Tribolium castaneum: one gene and its partners. The protein of the gene in region 1 purifies or fractionates together with the protein of each later gene. This does not show direct contact. Links are inferred from orthologs where the notes say so. Each region holds a gene or a part of one and is shown in the gene's direction. Other genes may lie near its edges. The genes, in order: SmE, calcium homeostasis endoplasmic reticulum protein, icln, probable ATP-dependent RNA helicase DDX20, Sf3a1, U2 snRNP-associated SURP motif-containing protein and 7SK snRNA methylphosphate capping enzyme bin3.

Region 1 (2,564 bases):
AAAGCTAATGAAGAAATAACTAAAAAAGAAATAGTGACCTAATAGTGCACTTAGAGTCGCCCTGACTGCCTATAGAGACGCTGTATCTCTATGCCATTTGAGCATTTGAAAATTGGGAAAAAACACTCAACCCCTATGCACAGATTTCATATAAATGATCCTTTGGTCCTTTGGGATCGGCTAGGGCTCATTAACATCAATTTTGTATCGTTTTGGCATTAATTTTGAGATTTTTCTCGCCTAATTCTAGTTTTTGGGGCTATTAAGACTCAAACAACACTTTACACTTCATCACAGTTTGGAAAATATAAATAATATAAATAAAAATAATCTCCGGTGCAAATAAAAAAATTAAGGTTCAAAGAGGTTTTGGGCCGCAAAGGTGTAGCACTTACCTTACCCAAATTGAAAAATGTGTCTTTTGAGCCGGTTTTTCCCCGAGTATTCTCCATAAACACAGTCAAGGGGCAGGTCGTTGTGCGCATCGCGCCAGGTCACAGTCTGCGCGCCCGCACTTTCAAATTCACAAATATTCCACAAAAACAGGTGCCCCACTTTGCATTTTTGAACCACCCAGTCCAAATAATCACTAGTTTCGTTCGATTTTCTGAGAGATAACAACACTGACTGACAATCACGCGATGACAACTGTTAAAAGCAGCATCCATTTGGTGCAAAGTCAAAGCACTCTTGGCAATTTTTTCTTAAGTGTGATTTCAGGCATTTATCTAACTTTTTGAGCAAAATAACCCTTCCTATTCAGTAAAGAGTTGATTTAAATGTCGTTTCACATCTTTATATCGAGTTTATAGCTTGTCGTTTTTTTCTTTAAAGTCACGTAAAATTATCCCGCCAAAACCAAAATTGTGTCATTAAGGGTAACAATGACAAAGAAAGACCTATTGACGATTGTGTGTGTGTAAGACACGGCGCAACTCCTCATATTAGCTATTTCAAAACTATAAAAACGCCAACCTCGTATTTTCTCTCAAAATTAGTTGTTATAAATTATTTATGCACTTCAAAAAACTAATAGGTAATGTTATTTATAGTCTCAATGATTTATTTATTAATAACTATTTTACATTTTTATCAACCTTATTAAAAAAAAATTGAGTTTATGAGACACCAAGTTCAAAAAAAATATATAAAAAACTATCACGTCAAAGAAAGCTAAATGAGAATAAAAAAAATTTTTTTCGAGACATTTACGCCCATCTGATGATAATTATGGAATAACTCAGCTTGATTAGTTAAGGAAAACCCAAAATATAAATTGTGCGACTATAATTCTGCGTGAATAATTTTGGAAAAAAAATGGGACGTTGGTGTTTTTATAGTTTCGAAACAGCCTAAAAACGACCAAACCACCAGACCTTTTTCTGGTGTATTTCAGCTCGTCAAGCTTCCCGCGTTCCACGATTGCCAACAGAATACAGAACTCACACAGATAACCTTACTTTGGTCGTATTGTAAGCGTCGCCTCATTTTTTAAGTTTTATAAATACTATTGCAAACTTTGAACAAGTTTTTTTCTCTTAATACGAATAATTCGTGCTGTGTGAAAGTGTGTTTGCACTTAGCTTCCTTAAAGAACTTTTTTTGCCGGTAACCCAAGACTCCTCTAACCATGGCGTACAAACCACAAAAAGTTCAAAAAGTGATGGTACAACCCATCAACTTAATTTTTCGTTACTTACAAAACCGTTCACGTGTACAAGTGTGGTTATACGAGAACATTAATCTGAGAATCGAGGGGCACATTGTGGGTTTTGATGAATACATGAATCTTGTGCTGGATGATGCTGAGGAATATTACGTTAAAACGAAGAACAGGAGGCAGCTGGGAAGAATCATGCTTAAAGGAGATAACATAACGCTGATACAGAACGTGAATCCTCAATCAGGCAATTAGTTGTAAATTGTAGCGTAATTCTAAGTTTCATAACAATTTTTTCATTCGTTGGAGTAATGTGTTTGTATGAAAACCGCAATTGGTCTTAGTATTAAGTGATTCATCAACTTTCTGTAAAAGAAATGCGGACATTAAAATTATTTTAGTAATTATGTCTATTTTTATAACTTCAAAGTCCTTAAAATTAAAATGTGATGGACAATACAGGTAATTATCGCTTTTTTAGAATTGTGAAGCTTGTAGGTGTTCCAATATATTTTTTTTGTAGGGGGTAAAGCTGCGACAGGTTTTGTCGAACGTTGCGTCAGCTACATTGGCGAAAATGCTGTAGAATGTGTAAAAACAAACTCATTTCTTTCTCTTCCCAAAGAAGCAGTCTTAAAATTAATCTCCTCAGATTATGTAAGTTTTAAAATTTTACTTAAAATCATTTATTACTGTTTCAATTTAGCTCTGTTTGGAGGAAGAGGATGTCTGGAGAGCAATTTTAAACTGGGCAAAGTACCAAGCTGGTGTCACCCAACCCACAGCCCATTGGACTGAAGAAGAGAGGGCCAGAGTGTGCCAGCACCTCTCACATGTCATTTCTCACGTCCGCTTACTTCTGATTGGTAAATTAAATTTTTTTTTTCTCTTATTTATTTGTAAT
Region 2 (4,011 bases), on another chromosome or scaffold:
TTATTTTTTAGTGAGACACTGTAAATAATTGTTTTTAATATTGAGTACTTAATTATTTTAGGCACACTAGGATTTTTTCATTAGACCCCTTACTGTTATTTTATCTTTATTATCTGAGTAGGTGTACTTTTTATTTATACCCTTTTTCATGCGAGAATAATTTAATTGCTTGTTTTGTTACACAATGTTATTTGCGTCCATAACTTTAGATCAATAAATTGTAAATACCTAGCTACTCTCTTTCAGACGGCTTTGCCAGTTCCAGTATCCTAGCCGTGGGTTTGTACTTCAGAGCGTTGGGCGAGATGACCCAAGGGTCGTACTTGTCCTCGTCGTGTTTCTTAGCCTCGCGTGCACTGAACGAAGGCAGGGCCAGTTTGTCAATTCTCTCGTTGCACTTCGCCCTCAGAGCTGACCTCTTCACATACCCGAGCGGTAACCCCTCGGGCTGTTTCTTAAGTCGGTCAGGAATGTGGTACAGCTTCTGGATGGCCTCGGTGATTTCGTACGTCAGGGCCTTGGGGTTCACCACCCCCAGGACTCTCGGGGGCACGATGTGGTACTCCTTGGGGGCGGCGAGCACGTCGATGTTGGCCAGGAGGTCGTCGAGCGGCTTCCACTTCTTGGGGATTTTCTCAGGAAGCGGGATCTTCTTGGGTTGCGCCATGCGGTTCCAGTGTTCTTGCTTCATGGCTTGGATTTTTTCCAACGACTTGCCTTTCGGTTTCTTTGCTTTGAGTTTCTCCAACTTGCGCCTCAGTCGCTTCAAGCGCCTGTCTCTGAGTTGTTTGCGGTAGTAGTTGTATATGGAGCCCCACGATTTGTCGATCAGTTTGGTCAGGTTTTTGGCGTATTTGGGGCCCCGCTTGTACGTGGTCAGGTTCACGTTAAGCAGCCTGAGTGGGGGCCTGGAGAGGTGGTCGCTGCGGAATTCGATTCCGGGGTCCAGGCGTTCCGGTGTTTTGGGCGGTTTGGGGACCGGAGGCGCGTACTTCGGCACCCGGATTCGGGGCACGCTGAGCATGTTTATCCGCCAGGGCCATTTCCACTGCTTGGGGGCCTTGGTTGTAGGCTCGGACGCGGTTACTTTAGGTTCGGAGAATGAGGGGTGGACGATTATATCTAATTTTAACATGATGATGATTTTGATGAAATGACTGAAGGAATTTTGACTTGATCTCCAAGGTGATTCAAATTGCGCGCCGCAAGGCGCCAACATGACCCGGCAAAGTTTTGCAAAAACACGCAAAAACTTGATTATTTTTACCCAAAATCTATTGATAAGTGTTCTATTAACCGAGCGTATCAAATTTGGGGCCGTTTTAATTGGAAAAGTGCTAGTTTTGAGGTCGTTTGCCCAACAAGTGGTGAGTGTTACGTTGGCCGAACTGCGTGTCAGTGTTCCTACATTCGAGAGCGTTTTGTCAATTTTCAAATAATCCCATATTTCCCGAATTAATGAGTTTTCTGAGATAAAGTATGCTTTAACTTAGGATTGCAATGGATTTGCCGCAGCCGCCCCAAGGTAGGTGCCCCAACTTCGCGAAAACGCCGGTTTTCTTCCCTTGCAAATGCGAGACGATTGAGGTTATGTTTGTTGTTAGATACTGAATTAAGAAATATTATCGACAAACTCGCCCAATTTGTTGCTAGAAATGGGCCCGAGTTCGAACAGATGACCAAAAACAAGCAGAAAGGCAACCCCAAGTTCCAGTTTCTGTATGGAGGAGAGTATTACAATTACTATCAGTATAAAGTCACCACGGAGCAAGCAGGTATTTGATTGCGACTTTCGTGCAACTTGCGCCGCATTGTGATCGTTTTAGTGCTAAAGCAGCAGGGGATTTTGGAGAACAGTCCGAATAACTGGAACTCGCCATCCACGATGCACAATTCCGAGATTGAACAAATCTCAATGCAGCAAGACAGTTTGAGGGAGCAGATCAAGCAAAGTGAGCAGAATCTGTCGGCGCAGCATACGGTGTTGCTGCAACAGCAGCAGGCCCAGGCTGAGGCTGTGGTGGCCAAGTGTGAAGCCGCAGCTTTGCAGAAGGAGGCGGAAGCTTGTGATATAATTTTAGAGGACATTTACAATATTTTGCAACCCATTATTGAGAGTTGCACGAAGGACAGTATAAGCAACGGCAAGTCTTGGTTTCTGCAACATGCAAACAGCAAGGAGCAGGCTTATTGCATAGTCCACTGTTTACTAACAAAGTAAGTGCCGGTATTCTCAGAGGAAAGTTACTAAATAGGGGCTACCATTTTCTTATTGGAGCAAAAATTAAAAAAAAATATTTAGAAAACAACTTTTTATTAACGTAACACTAATCATAATCAGGCATAGTTTTAGAGAGCAAAGTAATAATCTCATATTATCAGAATTGAGCATTAAACAAAATTGCAATTTAGGCGCTAAATCTGTACCTCAATATTCAGGACTAACTTAAAATAAATAAAAATTCGTATTTAATAGCCAATGTCACAATTTTACCTAACATTAGCGTGTATTCTGTAACTTTTTTAACTGGCTGTTAAAATTCAACACTGGTTAAAATCGGAAATCTAAGAATTGCTATAACAATAATTAACTGCCTTTAAATTTTAACGGTTTCATTACAAAATACCCGCTATTATTTATTTCGTTATTATTTTTTATTTTGTTATGGATTTTTTTGTTGTAAATGGGTTAATTGTCTTCCGAAAAATCTTGAGCATTTTGGATATAAGGAAGATTTCTGTAAAAGTCTTGATATTCCTCTGGTGTCCAATTAAGCTCAGTCATCAAGTATTTTGCTTTACTGATGGATTTGCGCTGATTTCTAAGTTGGAGGAGTAATTGAGGCAAATTTAAAGACTTTCTTGGTTTTCTTCTTAATTTGACACATTTGAAAGTTTCTGTAGAATTTGTTTAAAAATATATAATTTCTGCTTTTCTTAACTGAAACCAAATAACTTCTGATAATTTAAGTTACCTTCCATCCTCAATTTTTTTCTTGTAACAAGGTGAAGTTACATTCAAATTCAAATAAATGTTCCAAAAGTCTAAAAAGCCTTTTAATTTCATTAAATACACATTAAGAGGAGGATTTTTGTAATTTCTAATAAAATTAGCCCAGTTGTTGTAAGTGAAAAAATTAAAATTATCTTCGAATAATACTTATTATTATTATTATTATTATTATTATTATTATTATTATTATTATCAAAAATTTAGCCTCGTCAAAATTTGTCGAAACCAAACTTTTTTCATTATTTTCCAACTTTTCGAGGTTATGTCTTTAGAACTGAGCTTTTCTAACGTAAAATGACCGGCGGAATCCAAACTTGCAAGAATCAAGTCGCTACGACTAACCGTTAGGAAAATATCGGCAAAAATTTAATCTCGTCACAATTTGTCGAAACCAAACTTTCTTCATTATTTTCCAACTTTTCATAGTTATTCCCCTAGAATTAAGTGTTTCTAACGTAAAATGACCGGCGGAATCCAGATTTGTAAGAATCAACTCGCTACGACTAACCGTTCGGAAAATATCGTCAAAAATTTAGCCTCGTCAAAATTTTTTGAAACCAAACTTTCTTGATTATTTTCCAACTTTTCATAGTTATTCCCTTAGAATTGAGTGTTTCTAACGTAAAATGACCGGCAGAATACAAATTTGCAAGAATCTAGTCGCTACGACTAACCGTTCGGAAAATATAGTCAAAAATGTAGCCTCGTCAAAATTTTTTGAAACCAAACTTTCTTCATTATTTTCCAACTTTTCATAGTTATTCCCTTAGAATTGAGTGTTTCTAACGTAAAATGACCGGCAGAATACAAATTTGCAAGAATCAAGTTGCTACGACTAACCGTTCGGAAAATATAGTCAAAAATTTAGCCTCGTCAAAATTTTTTGAAACCAAACTTTCTTCATTATTTTCCAACTTTTCATAATTATTCCCTTAGAATTGAGTGTTTCTAACGTAAAATGACCGGCAGAATACAAATTTGCAAGAATCAAGTCGCTA
Region 3 (2,572 bases), about 3.9 Mb from region 1:
GGCGAGAGAAATTATAACATCGGTTGCTTCAATATCATCTTGCATAATCTCTATTTTTTTCGTAAAAAATTTGTCGAGAATGGATTCGCTGCACATAAATTTTGCAGCGTAATATTTGGATAAATAAAAGACCGTTTAAAAAATTAAACTTTATTAGAACAAATTACAGAGCAAATAGATAATGCGTGTCTGGTAGTTTTCCCCCGAAATTCAGCTTCCCTGCTTGCGGACAGTGAATTCTTCTCATAACTTCTTTAATTTCATTGACACTAATGGGGGGCTGTCCACTGTAAACCCTGCTATAGTCTGGATTGTTACCACTAGCCCCTATCCTATAATCCCCATTAAACATCGTAGAAGTGTAGTAATTGCCGTATAAATGATTCAGTGGATCACTCCCACATTTGCCCTCCATCCTCACAAGCAACGCATAATCGGTTATCTCAGCAACTGTCTGGTACCCCAAATACGACAAAACCACCATAGCATTAGTGCTGAAATTAATTTCCTTTTTCGGGTCAATCCACTGTCTTAATTTTTCGGAGTTTCGGGCCGTGATATCTCTACTGCAAAACGAGGTGGCTCTCGCTTTGCAAAACTCCAAATACCTCTTCTCGTCCAGGGCTTGAGATATGCGATCAGCCCTCAGCATCCTCGACTGTTTGACTTCATCAACTTCGGATAAATCGGTGAATTCTCCCGTCTCGTCTATGTACTCGATAAACTTCATTAGCTCGTTCTTCGGTATGGGATCTCTGTCAATTTCAATGACCCCCGAGTTCAACGACTGGAGTTGCTGTTTGAGTTGCTTGTTTTTCAAATATTGGAAAAAGCGGCGCATTTTGTGCTTATTGTGCCGCATTAGGAACACCAACTCCTTGCCTTTGAGGTTCTTACCATCGGAGTACTTCAGCGCTTCCTGGACGATCATGCGGAGCTGCTTCAACACGATGCTCTCCACCAAACGCACCGTCTCGGGGTTCGGCTTGTGGCTGTCGCCGAACCCAAACATCATCAGCGAGATTTCGTTACAAAAGGTTGTTTTTTGGGAATCCATCAGTTTTTGTCAACAAACACCTAACCTCAATTGACAACAAATATTTTCCCCACAGAATAACAGGTTTTTTTCCCCAATCAAACACAGCCGGTTCAAAATACCAGCCCGTGATTGGTCCTTAGCTCACAACGCCGCCAAAAGAAAATAAAAATCCCCAAGTTAAACGTCAAGCGCCATAGTTTGTGGTTACAATAATTTTGAAAAATAAACACGTTTTGCGAAAAAAAGTGGAGGAAGAATGGTTGTGGTCACGTCGTTTAAACCACCAGAATCTCCTATAAGACTCGAGCAGTCAAACGTTGTGGTGATTTTGGATAAACGTGATCTGGGCACCGGAACCCTATTTGTGAGCGAAAGGTAACACAATTATGGCAAAACCAAACGAAAAATACATTGTGTTAAATTACAGGACACTCAGTTGGCAAAAAGACGGGACTACGGGTTTTTCAATTGAATATTACAACGTCTCGCTCCATGCGGTGTCCAAAGACCCCAACGTGTGCGAGAGGGAGTGTATTTATATTTTGACTGACCCCCACATAAATTTGTTTGGTTTGTAATTTTTTGCGCAAAATTTGGTTTATTGTGCGTCGTTTTGTAGGAGAAACTGACCAAAGGCCCGCAAATGATGACAGTGACGTTGAGTCAGAGCCAGACCTCTCGGAGCTGATTTTAGCCCCCGAAAACCCCACACATGTACAAAGTATTTACGAGGCTATAAAAATTTGCCAAGAACTCAATCCCGATCCTGCCGATGTTGACGACGAGGACGATGATAATTTATTCGCGGACGCAGAAGAAGAAATGTTTATAGAAGCAGAGTCTGAGCAGATTGGGGACGCAGTTGTCGACAGTTTGGCCGAAAGGCTACAAAACAACTCAGTCGACGTCCAGTACAGCTACCGGAATGGCAACGAGGATGAGGATTTTGAAGATGCAGACTGATCCCTGAATTATGTTAGGTTTTGTATCTTTAATTTTAATCCATTTTTTATAAAACACTGACTAGTGAAAAGGTTTTATTCCAACAGAAAACAATGTTGAACGAAACAAAAAATGAAATTCCTTGCTTCTCCTTCACAATTCTCAATTCCGATAGACTAAAAACGAAACAATCTATCTATTTCTGAAACATTCTGAACTTCTTTGACCCTTAATCGTATTCAACCATTTCATCCTGAATTCCTCCCATTATCTAACTCTCTTAGGTCCAAAAATCAGGTCGGCGTCGGGCGCCCCCTTGGGGTGCTGGTATTTCTTGCGTTCGCGGTTCAAGTTTTGGGTCACGGGCCTGTTCTGCTGCTGCATCATGTCTTGATAATCCTCCTCTTCAAACCGTTCCGTGATGTTCAGCGTCAAGCGCTTCACTCGTTCCTTCTCCTCCTTCTGAGCCAACTCCTGGTCCCTCAGATTCTGAGCGAGTTCGGAGTTGATATCAGCCTCGAAATTTTTATATTGCTGCTTGTTTCCTTTGCGGACCATTAGCACGAACCCGATTTTGTTGGGTTCCGTTTC
Region 4 (4,090 bases), about 8.9 Mb from region 1:
CACAAAAGTTCTACATACTTCAAGTATACTCAATAATCCGATTTTTTGACAGTCCAAATCTTTACGTCTGAAACCTTGGTTTTATTGACTTTGGATAAACAAGGTATTACTATATTTTTCTAATGTTTGTTGGAACGTGTGCTATAGCGTACTGAAGACTTTACGCGCCAATTTGTACATAGCCTGTATTTTTTTATAATTTGAAAACGAATTAAACTTTAATAATTGGGAACTAAACTGATTTGAATTTATTTGTCATTATACTTTGCATGGATAATATGGTTAAATTAATTAGAACTATTTTTTTCATTTTTTATCCACTTTCAAATTCCAACAAAAAACACTTTAAACCACGCAAAACCCCACAATTAAAGTCAAAGCTAGTATTTATCACCACATACTCTCCCTAATGTAAGAAATTGACAATGTTCACTCAAAATTGCAAAAAATTCATTAAATGGGGGATTACGATAATTTCGGTACTGTTTCGAGAGAGCGTGTAGTAGTTAATTTAATTTTATTTTTTTAGTTTAAGAAAGTGTCCGATTCTACTGAACGTTCTTTTTTTCAGAATTTAGAACACAAAGACAGGACTGAAGTGTATGTCATGACAGTAACTGAAGAATTAGACGAATGGGAAGACTCAAAGACCATAGGAAGGAAGCGACAGTGGTTCACGATAGAAGAGGCTCTAGAACAGCTCGCGCTGCATAAACCGGTGCAACGCAATTACCTCCAACAGTTACGACGCTCGAAACTAACATGAGATTTGTTTTATTATTAAAAACACTGTTACTGTCAAACATGTGCTTGAGGTTTTATGGGTTTATTTATTAAAGAAAATTCGACTATATGTAAGATATTGAATTCGATTTTTTCGTAGTTTTCTGCAACAATAATGCTCTCGGTTTTAGTGAGGTATTGTTCTTTTTACGCCGTTCTGTTTACAAAATTCATTTAAATTTAAGACTATTATAGTACTTTCTTATTGTTTTGTTGCCTTTTGTTATAACCTGAATATCAGAACAATAAAATGTTACTTAATACCGACTCATTTTAGTCATTTCGAAACTGGCGCCATCATTTCGATCCCAACACCACGTCGGCATTACAGGAATCATCTTCAACAAATCAGTCTTTATCTGTTTCAGAGACGTTTTTTACCAATTTTAAATACAAAATGATGAATTCTAGCAACTAAAAGTAGCACAATTATTTACATAACAAAGCTTGATAGTTTTACTAAAAATTAAAATATTTTAGTACGTGTACGGTTACAGATTTCTGTAACACATCAAACGATCACGAAACGTCAAATTTTTGTTTTTTGAGGTTATAAAATTATGTTAGTTTTATGGTTAGACAGTTTTAATTTATTTAATAATGCAGCCAACCATTGCTCACGATTTAGATGCAAAAGAGCGCACAAAAGACGTAATTCTCGACGAAAACATCAGTTTTGCGTCATTACTACTCCCCGACGACATAAAACAGGGGCTCTCGGTTAGTGGTTTCAAAAAACCGTCTCCAATTCAGTTCAAAGCCATTCCCCTAGGACGATGCGGTTTTGGTACGTTTGTCACTTTTGTCAGGACTAGAACTAATCGAAAATTGTAGATTTAATTGTGAAGTCCAAGTCCGGGACCGGCAAAACTTTAGTGTTCTCAACAATTGCTCTTGAGACTGTTAATACGGCCAAAGACCATTTACAAGTCTTAATTTTGGTCCCGACGCGGGAAATAGCTGTGCAAATTGAAGACGTTCTGCGCAGCGTGGGCTGTCACGTAAATGGTTTTTATTTTTTTTTTTTGTAAAAGAACATACAATCAAACAAAATGAAAATGATGCGTCCATAAACGAACGTTTACGGTGCCACACCAAATTCTTGACCACAACCAACCCCTGTAATAAATCATTAGAGATCGTCAACTAGTTTTGAATGTTGTTCTACATTTTGAAATGTTGAAGAATTCCTTGTTGTAAATGGTTGGCTAGGACAAACATGAAATAATAGTTACTTCCTCAAAGTACGAAAACACATTATTTGAACACGAGTGAGGTGTAACGCTACGCTTCTCCTCCTCTTTCTGCTCCTCTTCGATCGGTAAAATCTCCTTACCGTTCTTGAAACTTAAATAACTATAATACTTATGCGACTAAAATTTGCCGAATAACAAACGTGATAAAACACGGATTCTTATTTCATTTATATTAAATTATTATCATTGCGAATTAATGAACAGAGTTGAAGGTTAATTAAATTTTTACTATATTTGGGGAGTGCTGTTTAATATGTTTTCGTAAACTAAAAGGTTTTGTTGCAAAAATAAAATTACGTGACAATTAAAAAACTGTTTTATTTCACTATCTTTTGCGGTGTAATCGGTGTAGTATTTTTCATTAAAGACTTTGACCGCGAAATGATCACTGCTCAAAAATATTTTAAATTAAAATAATAATTATTTTTAAAATTTCATTGTTACAAACTGTAACTAAAAATTTTATTGTCTTTATACATAGTTTATTTCTTAACGATATAAAACTTACTGAATCGTTGTGCATAAAACAAGATAAAACAAAAATGTAGTAATCTAATAAAATTGTATTTTAAATTTTACAGGTAAAGACGTCTGTCTATACTTTTCATCGTTTCAATTATTAATTGCACAATCGGTTTTATTAACATTTTTGTTTATTAAATGTTTCAAAAACTTGGTATGACTGGAATAAAAGTAATCAATGGACGTTAGGGTAATTCATTTATGGAAATACCCTGATTAAAATTTTGACCATTTAGGTCCAAATAAGGTTCATTAGAAAAATTTAAGAATACCTAACACCATAGGAGATAAGGTGAGACCAAAATTTTCCAATTTTTCTTAAAATCGATAAACATTAATTTATTAATTTTTTTTAAAACAAACGAAAAATAAAAAAAATCAAGTTCGTTACATCAGGTTTTAAGAGGTCAAAAAAAAATTGTATTACTTAGTTAATGCCAAATAAGTTTGTGTCGATTTAAAAAACATTTTAATTTTAATTCGAATTAACTTTACCTTTTTGTCATTGAATTTTAAATGGCAACTTGATGTCGGACTTTAAGCCACTTATTTGCTTCGAGATTTTCGAACTCAATCGTGTCTTAATTATAACTAAGTATTATTTACTACAATTTTTTTATTTCCGAAAATAATTTGTTTTTTTAAGTGAACCACAAAACATCCAACTAATTTATTTATTTTTAGTGACAAAACATGGCAACGAATCTGAAAATTTTTTTAGTTCTCATTTGTTTTTTAAGAAAATTAATAAATGTTTATCAGTTGTAAGTTCATTGAACCACTAGTTTACGATCTCTAATAATTTATGGTAGGGGTTGGTTGGTTGGTTGTGGTCAAGGGATCGGGGGTGGTTATGGACGCGTTTTATTTTTATTTTGTTCGACTATACAGGGTGCTGCATTTTGGATGTCCAAATAGGATCTTCGAAACTATAAGAGGTTTAGACTAAAACGAGTGACACATTCTCAGGTCCAATTTTTGAGAAATAATTTTGGTCAAAACCGCTTTCCGCGGTTGTTTTCGACTTATAAATAAAAGTTGCCATTTTAGCAAAATCCTAAAAACCCCATATCTTTTTTATTATAAAAGATACACATTTAAGACACACATTATGCAGAGAATATAACAATGTTATCAGCGTTTTTTTTAATTATTTGTTTAACTGTAACAACATAAAATTGAATTTTTTAAATAGGAATCATAGTTGGCTATGACATTTTCGAAAAAATTTTTTTTTCTGAACTGAAAACAATATAAATACAGTTTGATATTTCTATATACTTTTAATAAAAAACATATTGAAAGCAGTTGGCCATGGAAAAATTATTTCACATATAAGCTGTGAATAATCTAGAAATTTTGTGAACGGTTATTAAAGTAAAAAATTTGAAATTATCAAAATAAGTTATGTTAAAGTTATTTTCAATAGAACAAATATACGATCGTCGCAGATTTTAATTACATAAAAAATGTTCAGAAAACTGAAAACGATGTGTCACTACTATTTAATAACACTTTCTTATGATTTA
Region 5 (3,500 bases), on another chromosome or scaffold:
AACGTTTTCCTAGGAAATAATTCCCAGTGTTGTCACATCTACACATTGTGATTTTTTGGATAAATTTTAATTTTTGTAAATTAAAAAAACTGCTAAAGTCTGATAGAAAATTTAAAAATAATTATTCATCGTTTTGTTACGGATCGATTACCTGGTATGAAAATAAAAACATAAAAAAAATGAGAACTGAAGAAGTTAACAAAATAAGTTTGTAGCTCCAGATTTTTTAAAATATGACTTTAGGAATTTTTTCAACATTTTTCCCGTAATCTGCACTTGCTTCTCAATAACGTACTACTGAGTTGGTGCGCCAGTTTTTGAGCACCATCTTCGACGAAATCAAACTAATTGGAAAAAAGTTTACAAACCTTAAAATTTTAACATATTTGAACACTTCTACAAGCTATATATCAGTTTTTTCAAATGGAATTTTTATTTCAGTAGGTGGAAAAATGTAATTCTTCAACGATCTGTATTAGCATTAACTATACCTATCTGTGATAATTTTTAAGTTATGTTGGTTTTTTTTGACATTGCCCGAGGTTCCTTACTAGCAAGAGCTATTTTTGCAGAGTTTTACAAGGAAACATTTCTCACTGAATAAGCGATAAGCTCTGTTCAAAATTTTGCTTTCCTTTCCATTAAAACAAATAAATTCATTGAATTTAGATTTGAAAAACTTTAGATTTCTTATACAGGGTGTATCAGGAATACGTGTCTTAATTTTGACAGGTAATAGACTTCAGCAAATATAAAAACATTCTATTTGTAATTTTTCAACAAAAAATTCGCAAATTTACTTAAAATTTGGAAAAAGATAACATACTGAAACGTGTACCTGCCTATGGGTACAAAAATAAGAGAGCCGAACTATTTTCATTGTGATAGAAACGGAACATGTAAACAATTTAAAATAACAATAAAAATTGTTGCTATGAATACAAACTAATTATTAAACACTGACCGACTTGTTTCCACAAAAGAAACACGTATTTTTGATACAACCTGTATTTTACTCATGATTCCATGGCAACCTCGATGGCAACGCATGCGAAAAGCGCTATGGCATTTCTCAATACCAACAAAAAAATTCGTATAACTGTATGGAATTGATACAAAATTAAATTTTCTACCCTTTAGTGAAATAAAAATTGTGGAATTTCATTTAAAAATTTTGAGTTATTGGTATTTGGAGTGCTGCAACTTACTTTTTTAGTGTGAAGACACCAAAGAAAAGATTTTTTCTTTCAAACAAGCCAAAAAGGATTTAAACATTAAAAAAAAGCAGATTTTTCAAGTCAAAGATGCAAATCAAAATTTTTCAAAAAACTAAATATTTCGAAACCGATTAAATATAAGTATAAAAAAACTATTAAAAACTCCCTTAAAATAACTCAAGTAATCCAAAAATGCATTATTAAAACATAAATAGCTTTCCATTTAAATTAAGAAAGTTGATAACTACTTATGGGATAACCTTATTGAAAGTATTTTCATTGATCAGACTTAACGGATTATGGTTGTATACAAATTTTCAGATAACTATCATTATTTAGAACTCCCAATTCCCAATATATCTGGGGTTTAGACGGAACAGCGTGTACATAAATAACATCCAAATATCAAACAAATTTTTTTTCCGTTGGAGGTGGGCTTATGATAACCGTGTACTGTGCCGTGTTTTTTAACTTTTTAATTATTATACTTTATGTGAAATACTCTTACATGTTACGATTCTAATAATCTTTAATTTCTGGGTTTGTTTTTTATTATTAACTGTGATTTTTTAAACTCCCATCTCTATGATGAAAAGAGAAGGCATTATTCACGATGTTTTTATTTTAGTTACTCTTATTGTCGGTCTGTTTGCTGTAATTTCGAAATTTTCGATTTTTAATTATTATCTCGGTTCGGCTCTAGAGTTTGTCGTTTTTCTTTGTTGGTGAGACGCACATGTCGCGTCATTATGGCTATTGCGGTGCAGTAAAAAACAAACAAACATTTTTAGGTGAAAGGGCTATTGCCGGACGAGGAGAAAGAGAAGATCGGTCCGAAAAACGTGGTTGGTAGCAAAGCCCAGGCTAAAGTTAGCGCTGCGGCCGCTGCCGCTGCTATAATCTCTGCGAAACCTCTCGCAAATCCAAACCCGGTAAGTATGAACAGATTCCGTTCATTTCTCACTTGTATATATTGCTTAGCCGGTTAAAACCACACCGGTATCAGCAGTTATGCAAACACAAACTCAAACCATCGTTCAGGTTCCACAGCAAGCCACGATGCTACAACAGACGTCCATTATGATGATGCCAGCGCCGCCTATGGCTCCTATGCGGCCACCACCACTCATGAGTAGGTTTTTTTTTGCTTTTAATGAAACAAGTTATTAAGTTTTTCATTAGTGGCAGCACCTCCACCCATGGCCGGTTTTGTCACACCCATGGCCCAGATGCCACCCATGGGCGGAATGCCGGTCAAACATCCAAGTGAGACGCAACCGGAAGAAGAACCGTCGAATAAAAAAATGCGAAATGAGGATTCACTCATCCCTGAAGAAGTTTTCTTATCACGCAATCCGGTACGTTTGATCAAGTGTGCGCATGTCAAAATTACAATTTTAAATTACAGAATCCTGTTTCGATTAAAATCGCCATTCCGGTGGTTCCCGAAAAGACAGAATGGAAATTGACGGGACAAATGATGGCGTTGAATGTCCCACTTTCCGAAAGTGTTTCTTCAATCAAATCGAAAATACAGGAAGAGACCAATATGCCTCCGGCGAAACAAAAATTATTTTATGATGTAAATTTAATTATTAAATTTTTTTTGTTGGTTACTTATTTGTTTTTTCCAGGGCATGTTTTTCAAGGATTCAAACACGCTTGCTTACTATAATATCATCACGGGGGCTGTAATACAACTACAAGTGAAGGAAAGAGGTGGTCGCAAAAAATAAAGTGTATTTAATCAAGAATTCAAATAAATTATCACTAGAATGGTATATTTATTACGTATATTCAGACTTTATTTCCTAAAAGCATAGCCTCCAACTTTCTATATCGCGCAACCATTGGTTCGTAGATCTCACTAGCGTCGGAATATGGTTGACAAATGAGTCGTGGTGGGGGGAGACATGACGTAATCTCAAAGTAGTTACTTTGAGAGCCCAAAAGTCCGTGTTTCGCTTGATAAGCGGCCCCCAACATGGCCGACTTCGATTCGTCCTACATGAGTTACATAGTTATTTTTTCTATACTTTTGACAATGGCAGCGGCTTTTTGACTTTTAAATACAGTATAAAAACGCTAGTTAAAAAAGTTAATACTCACTAGGAGGTAAACAGGTGCGTTGAAGACGTCCGAAAGCACTTGAAGAATTGCTTTATTATTGGAAGCACCTCCCGTTGCTAGAATCTTCGTTTCTTTGTCCAATTTAAATCCAATGTCTTCGACGTAAGCCCGTCTTGCGATAAACTGTCCTTCAATCAAAGCCCGGACTTCGAC
Region 6 (4,112 bases), on another chromosome or scaffold:
GTAAATGGTACGAAAAAGGGTACACTTGGCGCCCCCTAGACACCTCCCGACTCCCAGATTCAGACCCAAACAACATCTGTTTAACATGAAACACGTCATGATCCCCGGTTAAAGTAATATGTCGTGTTTTAGTGGAATTGTCTGTTGGGTCCTTATACTCCTCAGTCCCAGTCCACTCATTATGTTCCCTACATATGATCTCAAGTTTTATTCCTAGAAAAAAATGTAAAAACACATTGCTACAAAAATCATAATGCACCTCTAACAGTAGTCTCTTCATCAAAATAACACTCAAGCCGGCCCCTAATCTCAGATCCGGCATAATATGTCCCAGAATAATTCTCCAAACAAATGCGAACTTGAGACATTTCGCCCAAATTGTGGATCACCCCCTGTATAAAAATGTGTCGTAAAATCCTAACCTACCTTAGTGTTTCATGAATGAGACAGTTTATTTTAATAAATCAATTATAAATCATCCACGTACCTAAGTGAAGAAAAACCGTGGCGTAATTAGACGTAATTCATTTCTTTTCACCACTTCGACGAGAATTCAGCCTTGAATGGCGCCACTGAATTGAATTAAAAATAAAAACTGGTTGAAATATTTGAGCCCATCCCACTAATGTGAGACGAAGAGGTCGTAAATTGTGGCCATTGAAGTAAACAAGGAAGGAGAATTGTGACTAAATGAATGAGATAACGTAAAATGCTGATACGACTACACGTAAACACTACTCTATCGATGACTACGAAAACAGTTTTTCGCCCTAAAACTGCAATTCAAGTGCACTGTTATGCAATAATACTAATAATGAGCGGCGACCTCTAAAGCGGCCTTGGCAGTAGTGATTATGTAATTAGCGATTCACATGTCGTAGAGACTATTATTTCCCAAAATAAAATGAAAATAAAATAGTAATGATTTTTTTTGTTGATACAAATATTAATTAACAGTCTGCGTTTTTTATTAATTTATATATATTTTTTATTTGATGAGTTTATAGGACGATTTATGTGAAAATGATAAACACATAATGAAGCTAATGACTTGAATAATTACAGTAAACACAAACATTTTGTTTATTTTTGAAATAAACATAGTTACGAGATTTTGGAGTGTTCTTGTAGGCAACACGTAATACACCCATTTTTTATAAAACGTTACATAATTACGTTATCAATTTTTAGTTTCGAGTTTTTTAGTTTTTTACAAAAAGTACAAAAACGTGTGGATATTGTTTTAACTTTGTTGTTTTTTGGTTCATGTATTTTCGCCCAAAGTTTGGGAACGTTTACACGCAGTGTCAGCGTCGCCAATAGCCCACAATATGAAAACGCAAACTCCCTAAAACCACCAGTGTATTATTATTTTTTCATATCAGGAAATTAAACAATTATATTATGACTATTATTAGGTTTCCTTCAATATTAATTAGCTAAAACCGTTTTGTGAAGTGTTTGGTGGGAATTGCGTCCAAAATGGGTGATAAAATAAAGGTAGTTCACCCTAATAAAACCCCTCAAAACTAACGTTTTTCTCGTAACAGAACATTCCTGAGCAAAAATTAAAGGCTTTTTCGATCGGCACGATGGGGAAACGTTCGTTATCTAAAAAAGAATTAGAGGAACAACGGAAAAAAGAAGAGGAACGGGCTGCGGCTCATGTAGGACTAGTAATACAGTAGTATTTTTTACATAACCTCTTCGATTTAAGGTTTTTGAGGAATTTGTCGCTACGTTCCAAGAGTCCCCTATTAGCAGCTCGAGTAAAGTGTGGGTCAAAGCGGGGACTTACGATGCAGGAGCGCGAAGTATTTTTTAAATTGTGAAAAAAATCAAAAATAAATTGGGCTTTTGTAGAGGAGGATACTAAAGACAAGGGCAAGTTGTACAAACCGCAGTCCCGACTAGCCCCCACTGAATTAATGGCATCAACGGAAAAAGCTCAGTTTTACGCTAAATTAATCTCAGATAAGAAGCCTGAACGGTTAGGGAAGAAGAAACAGCACACTAAGAGCAACCTAGAGGCGTTTAAAGAGGAATTAAGACAGTAAATATACCATTGAGTTGGTCAAAATAGACAAAAATGTAGTGATAAGCGTAGAGCTAAAAATTGGTACAGTTCTTAGGTACACTATTACAAATAAAATATCAAAAGTCCCCACCGATCCCACGTGTGCTAAAAAAGTTATTCAATGTCAAAGGACAAAAGTATCGGTTTTTGCATTTTTTTGTAAAGCCGGAATTATGCCAAATGCAGGAAAAAGCGCCTGTATGGTCTGCAAATGTACTTATGTTTAAATGAACGCAAAACAAAATGAATGATTTTCTCTCTCCGTAATATAAATTTTGAAAACTTAGGAACAATAAAATACTTAGGCGTATTATTTGACCATATCTTGATAAAACAGTTATGATGAGTTTATTACTTGACGTGTCCTATAAATTAATGTAAATTTTCTAAGGATAAATAAATTATTATTGTTATTAAAATATTTTTTTAGCACACGTCGGATCGGTGGGGAGTTTTTTTATAGTTTATTTGTCATAGTTTACATAAGTCCTGTACGAATTTTCACCGCTATGCGAATTTTTGGAAATTGAAATGTCTATTCTGACCGGTCTCTTGTTTTGTGGCACAATTTGATGAAATTTTTGCCAGGATTCAGGAGGAGCGGGAGGAAAGACACAAGTACAAAGGGGTGCTCAGGACCCCCATGGAGTCCGAGCTGGACATGTTTTTGCGGAGCGGTGACTTGGGGTCGTTCGATAACGGCGACCCCACAACGACAAACCTCTACCTTGGCAACCTCAACCCCAAAATAACCGAGCAACAGTTGATGGAAATTTTCGGTCGTTACGGCCCCCTTGCTAGTATTAAAATAATGTGGCCCCGCTCGGACGAGGAGAAGGCCCGGGGCCGCAACTGCGGCTTCGTGGCCTACATGAGCCGAAAAGACGGCGAAAGGGCGCTTCGTAACTTAAACGGCAAAGAAATCCTAGGTTATGAAATGAAACTTGGTTGGGGAAAATCGGTAATAATCCCTCCACATCCCATTTACATCCCTCCCGCGCTCCTGGAACTGTCCTTCCCTCCGCCTCCCTCAGGACTGCCCTTCAACGCCCAGCCCTGCGCCCGGGATAAGGACGTTCTGCCCAAATCTGCAGAGGAACTGAACGAGATTTTGGGGCGCAGTGTTGTCAAAGTTGTGATTCCGACCGATAGAAATCTGTTGATGTTGATACACAGAATGGTCGAGTTTGTGGTTCGGGAGGGGCCCATGTTGGAAGCTATGATTATGAACCGGGAGATACACAACCCTAATTACAGGTTTCTTTTCGAAAATCAAAGCCCGGCTCATATCTACTACCGGTGGAAACTCTACTCCATCATGCACGGGGATTCACAGAAAGAGTGGAGCGTCAAAGAGTTTCGACTTTTCAAAAGTAAGAATTTGGTGTTTTGGACGGTTTTGCTCTAAAACGTGTTAATTTTGTGGAGATTTCGCGAAAACGCTCTCAAACGGCAAAATTATAATCTCCGTCAAGACATGATACACAACATACGGATACAAATAAACTTTGAAAAAAGTTGGGATATTATTGAATTTTAAAGAAAATCCACAGAAGCAATAAAAATAATACCATTTGTGTTTTTCTTTAAAGTTCTTTTTATCGTTTAAAGTTGTTCTGGTTTTATATCCTCCAGTAAATTTTGTCACCTTTAAAAACATTTATTCTTAAAAAATGACGTATACTCTGAAGTATATGAAGGACATTTGTATTGTATGTAATTCGTATGGATAAAATTATATAAATGGACGAGTAGTCATTACAGTTACAATATATAAACAATACAAATAAAATATGTAAAAAAATACCAAAAAAGAAAAAACTGACAAAATAGAGACATAACACTTGTACAAAACATTATAAATTACGAAGAAAAAGAGACTAAATAGATCGAATTGTAGAGTTTTTGGTCGGAAATTATGAAAGAAAATATCTAGATCTTTTGTAATAGAATTATATAATTTAAAACATTTCTTGTTTGCTTGCGAAGACGGTTCAATTTGGAAGCCCCCTCTGATGAATTCGTACACTGCCGG
Region 7 (4,137 bases), on another chromosome or scaffold:
CGCACCAACTCAATGCTACGCGGTAGAGAAATGCTTTCATAAAAAGGTAAAAATATTTTTTTTTAATTGGTAAATAACAAACTTTAAAGAAATGATTGTGGCAACGTTGTCTAACAATCGAGATCGCAATAGATCCCGATCAACAATAAAAATGAATAACTTTTGAAGTGGTTTCATAGGAAATCCCAATGTTGGCACATCTACAAATTGTGATTTTTGGATAAATTTTATTTTTTTAAATCCAAGGAACTGCTAAAGTCAGATAGTAATTTTTAAAATAATTATTCATTACGTTGGGGAACGATTACTTAGTGTGAAACATAGAAACATTAAAAAATAATGAAAACTGAAGAAGTCAGTAAACTAAGTTTGTAGCTTCATATTTTTTTGAATATGACTAGGAATTTTTTCAAGATTTTTCATATGATCTACACATGCTTTCCAACATTTTACCAGTGAGCTGGTGCACCAGTTTTGGAGCAGCCTGTATATTTCTTGAAAGAGATAAAATTATGAAAAGAAAAACTGACTTTGTGGTTATAGATATTTCGCCAGTTGTCCAGTTACCGCTCGTAAAACGTCTAAAAACTAATAACCTGATAAAAATTTATTTCAAGGTCGACAATTATTTATGTTTCTAGTATACCTAAAGATACAAACCAAATTTTTTAAGACTATTTGCCATTTTCACCTTTAACATGTCATAATTTTGCAAATAAAAATTACTACTAGATAAAGCATAAAAAGTCCGATCGAAAAGATACAGAAGATGGTTTCATAAACTATAAAGCTGCATTCAAACTTAAATATCTATTTTCGCATTGGAGTAATAAGGTAAACATCACATCGAGATCCTATAAATATGACTAATAAATAACACACTTTGTACAACGGAAGACAAGCAATTTTGGCACGTCATCCAAAAATAAAATACAAATATATTGTCCAAAAATATTTACGAAGTGCATTCGAAGCAGGTGTTACAACAGACTATAAACAAAACTTTTCAAGAATGTTTCCAATTGTGAATTCAGCCACTCCTTCAGCAGGAAAAACTAATTATTTCCCAATAATTATAAGTGGTTCGAATTTATGATCATTTGCGCCAATAAAACTCCAGGACCGTATCGACACATTTTCAAATAATCAATTCCGGTTAATTAGGTCGCGAATTTAGAACGTCGAAAAAACGCAATCATCCGCAATACCTTTCGGTTACCTCCCCAATTACCCGAAAATTACATAATTAGGAACATAACACTTTTCAACTCCTCGCTAAATCGCCCATCGTCCCTCATCGGCTCCGCTTCGGCAAACTCCGGCACTGATATTAAAATGGAGTCTAGTTTACAAGCACAACGATTTGTAGTCGTTCAGACGGTGCGTTGCAAAGTGAAGTCTCTTTTTCGGCCGTTTTTCAGCGGAACCTAAGGGAAAAGTGGCCCTCAAAGGGCATCAAACGAAAGCTGAAGCCACGCCGGACACGTTGAAGGTAAATTTTTTGACATTTATGTAATCTGTGAGGAGTTTTCGCCCAAAACGATAGCCAACGTCGATCTCCGCAGTGGCATACATGTTTGTTCCGGTGTGCGCGTGCGCAGTGCCGATTTTTTGCGGGAACTTGGGGTGCCGGGCTTTTTCGAAATTTTCGTAAATTTAGAAGGGCCACCGCTGAGGTGAACTTCGGAGAGGGTTATTTAGTCGGGAGTTTGCTCAGTGGGAAGGTTCCTAATTGAACACTGCTTTCGCGGGTTTGTTATCAAATTGCGGGAATCCGGACGTTTATTATACGCTCCGGCCGGAATTTAACGTCACATTTTTAGTTTAATTAATTTAATCGATGGTAATTAATTATCTGATTTATTTGAGGTGTTGTGTATTATACCGATTACGATAAGAATAATTTATTGCAGTTATTGGTGCATTTAGATTGGTCATAAATATTTAATGTGTTGACGGATTAAATTAGAAATAGTCAAATCCTTGATCTTAGACAACTGTAACCGAAGTGCGACCGAAAAATCAGAATACACGCAACGGCTTGTACAAGAATACAGAGTATTTATAAAATGTCTATCATCAAGTCACCTAAGTCGAATTTAATCGCTATCTTCTGTCAATATACTTACATTACACCCAGATATTTGTAATTAATTTGTAATTTGGCTGTTTGACAAAAATGCATGTTTGCATGAATAATGGCAGTTTTGTTGTTACTTTTTTTGTAATAAGAATCTTTTATCGTTGATATTGCGTGTGGGTTATTTATTTTTACATATTTCATTGATAAAAAATCCAGGCATATAATATATGATTACTTCGTTGCCAACACGTTAGATCTTGTTACAACTGACATTTTGCATATTGAAAATATAGCCAAGCTTCAAACCGTGCCGAAACCAAGAAATAGTTGAGTATATACGGGGTGAGTCTGCTAAAAGTATGTTTCACTATTCTCAGAAACTAATGGTCGCACCGCATTCAGTATTCACTGTTAAATACATAGTGACGGTTTATAGAAGCGTCAATAATCTAATTCGCAATTAAATGCGTGATCAACTGATCACGTGAACAAATGATTGGTCTATTCACGTTGTTAACTTTTAACAACGAATTAAAATTTAAGGGAGCTTTCTATAAACCGGCCTATTAAGTTTTTTGCTATGTATGTGAAATTTTTCCAAATTTTTTTACTCTTCTTTACAAGGTGATTCAAAAGTGTCGGACAAACTCTCGTATGGTGATAAAAGACATTCAATTAAGGACAAAAATGAAGTTAAATATTTTTTCTAAGAAGTCATTTTTTTATATATTTTTTAATTTGTTTTCTTTAGCAGGTGTATCGATTTTTGCTCTTTTGTTTCCTATGATGTCGAATTTTATTTATTAGCGAATTTGCGAGTTTTTTAATTGTTTTGTACATCATATGACATTAATTTTTGATTTTTTTGTCGTTTACGCAAAACGTCAAAAAACATGTAATCTGAATCACCAAAAACTTAACTGAAAAATTCTACTTTGAGTAGTTATAGCTCGTGGAAAAAGGCTAAAACAATTTTTGTCATAGGAATTTTTAATTCTCTTTGATGTCCTTTATCCGCACCCGAGAGATTGTCCGGTAATTTTGAATTACCGTTAAGTTAATTTATTAAATTTGTATTAATATAATGAAATTAAAAAAATGGGGTTGGTTTATGGAATCGTCATTATTTTAATCCACAATTAAATGCGTGATTAACTGATCACATGACCAAATTAAAGCAATTTGGTTGGTCCATTCGCGTTGTTAACTTTTAACAAGGCAGTTAACTTTAATTGAGCTTTCTATAAACCTGGTAAATGCGCCCAAAGAATTATATTTTAATAAAGCTTTCTATAAACCGACCCTTAGTGTTATTCTAAAACAACGATGTCTAAATGTTTTCGAGCAAAAATTCTTATAAAATAAATTTTGGTAGCCCTAAAATTACGTTTATTTAAATTTTGAATTTATAACTTTATTTATTATTTTTGGGGCTAGCGACATTTTTTATGGATTTTTATCACAGGACAACATTTAAGTATTGCTTGTTTTCAGATGACACAAAAAATAACAGTTAATAATAATTAATAATTCATAAATTTTAGGACCGGTTTATAGAAGCGTCATTAATTTCACTGATTAACAGATCACGTGACCAAATTGAACCAATGTGATTAGTCTATTCGCCTGTGATTAGTTTATTCGCGTTGTTAAGTTTTAACAACGAATTAGAAATTAATGAAGTTTTCTATAAACCGGCCTATAATTGCTTAAGGAATTGTAGAAAAATTCTGAAAAAAATAAATTAAATTAAGTTTTCAGTTGATTTTAAGAGATAATAATTAAATTGCTTGCAAGTGGTTGAAATAAATGAAATATTACGATAGATTTTTTTTGGGTAAAATATTTATACATGGTGTTGGTAAAAACAACGGTGTAACCCTTCGCTTACTGCAAAATTACAAAAAAATGTAAAATGGCCATTTTTTTCTAACTAATTTGTCTTTACAGCTAGAACTTAAGTAATAATATTGTCTTATTAGGAAGAAGGTTTTAAATAATTGCAAAAGACGAAATACCTACTAGACAACATTTAAAAAAAACTAAGAAGAATC

Evidence for each region.
Region 2: the proteins of SmE (region 1) and calcium homeostasis endoplasmic reticulum protein purify together in Homo sapiens (co-immunoprecipitation; 3 studies listed by BioGRID and IntAct, counting the BioPlex papers as one, with this or other methods). This does not show direct contact. The link is inferred for Tribolium castaneum from reciprocal best matches to the Homo sapiens genes SNRPE and CHERP.
Region 3: the proteins of SmE (region 1) and icln purify together in Homo sapiens (affinity purification with mass spectrometry; 5 studies listed by BioGRID and IntAct, counting the BioPlex papers as one, with this or other methods). This does not show direct contact. The link is inferred for Tribolium castaneum from reciprocal best matches to the Homo sapiens genes SNRPE and CLNS1A.
Region 4: the proteins of SmE (region 1) and probable ATP-dependent RNA helicase DDX20 purify together in Homo sapiens (affinity purification with mass spectrometry; 4 studies listed by BioGRID and IntAct, counting the BioPlex papers as one, with this or other methods). This does not show direct contact. The link is inferred for Tribolium castaneum from reciprocal best matches to the Homo sapiens genes SNRPE and DDX20.
Region 5: the proteins of SmE (region 1) and Sf3a1 purify together in Homo sapiens (affinity purification with mass spectrometry; 3 studies listed by BioGRID and IntAct, counting the BioPlex papers as one, with this or other methods). This does not show direct contact. The link is inferred for Tribolium castaneum from reciprocal best matches to the Homo sapiens genes SNRPE and SF3A1.
Region 6: the proteins of SmE (region 1) and U2 snRNP-associated SURP motif-containing protein purify together in Homo sapiens (co-immunoprecipitation; 3 studies listed by BioGRID and IntAct, counting the BioPlex papers as one, with this or other methods). This does not show direct contact. The link is inferred for Tribolium castaneum from reciprocal best matches to the Homo sapiens genes SNRPE and U2SURP.
Region 7: the proteins of SmE (region 1) and 7SK snRNA methylphosphate capping enzyme bin3 purify together in Homo sapiens (affinity purification with mass spectrometry; 3 studies listed by BioGRID and IntAct, counting the BioPlex papers as one, with this or other methods). This does not show direct contact. The link is inferred for Tribolium castaneum from reciprocal best matches to the Homo sapiens genes SNRPE and MEPCE.

The regions. Positions count from the first base shown.
Region 1 is NC_087394.1:32,141,404-32,143,967, forward strand, and holds SmE (probable small nuclear ribonucleoprotein E), read left to right. Parts: upstream 1-1,413; 5' UTR 1,414-1,630; coding exon 1,631-1,915; 3' UTR 1,916-2,064; downstream 2,065-2,564. Other genes in the region: kelch-like protein 21, read left to right, coding at 2,184-2,317, 2,367-2,526. UniProt on the Homo sapiens protein: Plays a role in pre-mRNA splicing as a core component of the spliceosomal U1, U2, U4 and U5 small nuclear ribonucleoproteins (snRNPs), the building blocks of the spliceosome.
Region 2 is NC_087395.1:15,663,928-15,667,938, reverse strand, and holds the start of calcium homeostasis endoplasmic reticulum protein, read left to right. Parts: upstream 1-1,211; 5' UTR 1,212-1,217; coding exon 1,218-1,367; intron 1,368-1,373; exon of another isoform or gene 1,374-1,493; coding exon 1,494-1,525; intron 1,526-1,604; coding exon of another isoform or gene 1,605-1,653; coding exon 1,654-1,775; intron 1,776-1,826; coding exon 1,827-2,217; intron 2,218-4,011. Other genes in the region: uncharacterized protein Theg, read right to left, coding at 233-1,135. UniProt on the Homo sapiens protein: Involved in calcium homeostasis, growth and proliferation.
Region 3 is NC_087394.1:28,289,380-28,291,951, reverse strand, and holds icln (methylosome subunit pICln), read left to right. Parts: upstream 1-1,279; 5' UTR 1,280-1,295; coding exon 1,296-1,414; intron 1,415-1,466; coding exon 1,467-1,609; intron 1,610-1,658; coding exon 1,659-2,002; 3' UTR 2,003-2,072; downstream 2,073-2,572. Other genes in the region: uncharacterized protein LOC103312536, read left to right, coding at 1-112; transcription initiation protein SPT3 homolog, read right to left, coding at 164-1,057; Upf2 (regulator of nonsense transcripts 2), read right to left, coding at 2,249-2,572. UniProt on the Homo sapiens protein: Involved in both the assembly of spliceosomal snRNPs and the methylation of Sm proteins.
Region 4 is NC_087394.1:23,207,160-23,211,249, reverse strand, and holds the start of probable ATP-dependent RNA helicase DDX20, read left to right. Parts: upstream 1-1,290; 5' UTR 1,291-1,383; coding exon 1,384-1,570; intron 1,571-1,617; coding exon 1,618-1,791; intron 1,792-4,090. Other genes in the region: Aps (diphosphoinositol polyphosphate phosphohydrolase 2), read left to right, coding at 572-766.
Region 5 is NC_087397.1:12,575,687-12,579,186, reverse strand, and holds the end of Sf3a1 (splicing factor 3A subunit 1), read left to right. Parts: intron 1-2,008; coding exon 2,009-2,149; intron 2,150-2,198; coding exon 2,199-2,349; intron 2,350-2,399; coding exon 2,400-2,575; intron 2,576-2,625; coding exon 2,626-2,799; intron 2,800-2,851; coding exon 2,852-2,953; 3' UTR 2,954-3,011; downstream 3,012-3,500. Other genes in the region: xylulose kinase, read right to left, coding at 3,015-3,221, 3,327-3,500. UniProt on the Homo sapiens protein: Component of the 17S U2 SnRNP complex of the spliceosome, a large ribonucleoprotein complex that removes introns from transcribed pre-mRNAs.
Region 6 is NC_087403.1:337,146-341,257, forward strand, and holds the start of U2 snRNP-associated SURP motif-containing protein, read left to right. Parts: upstream 1-1,312; 5' UTR 1,313-1,482; coding exon 1,483-1,500; intron 1,501-1,550; coding exon 1,551-1,667; intron 1,668-1,717; coding exon 1,718-1,814; intron 1,815-1,863; coding exon 1,864-2,053; intron 2,054-2,665; coding exon 2,666-3,450; intron 3,451-4,066; coding exon 4,067-4,112. Other genes in the region: arrestin domain-containing protein 3, read right to left, coding at 1-213, 260-368.
Region 7 is NC_087395.1:19,351,113-19,355,249, reverse strand, and holds the start of 7SK snRNA methylphosphate capping enzyme bin3, read left to right. Parts: upstream 1-1,337; 5' UTR 1,338-1,492; intron 1,493-4,137. UniProt on the Homo sapiens protein: S-adenosyl-L-methionine-dependent methyltransferase that adds a methylphosphate cap at the 5'-end of 7SK snRNA (7SK RNA), leading to stabilize it.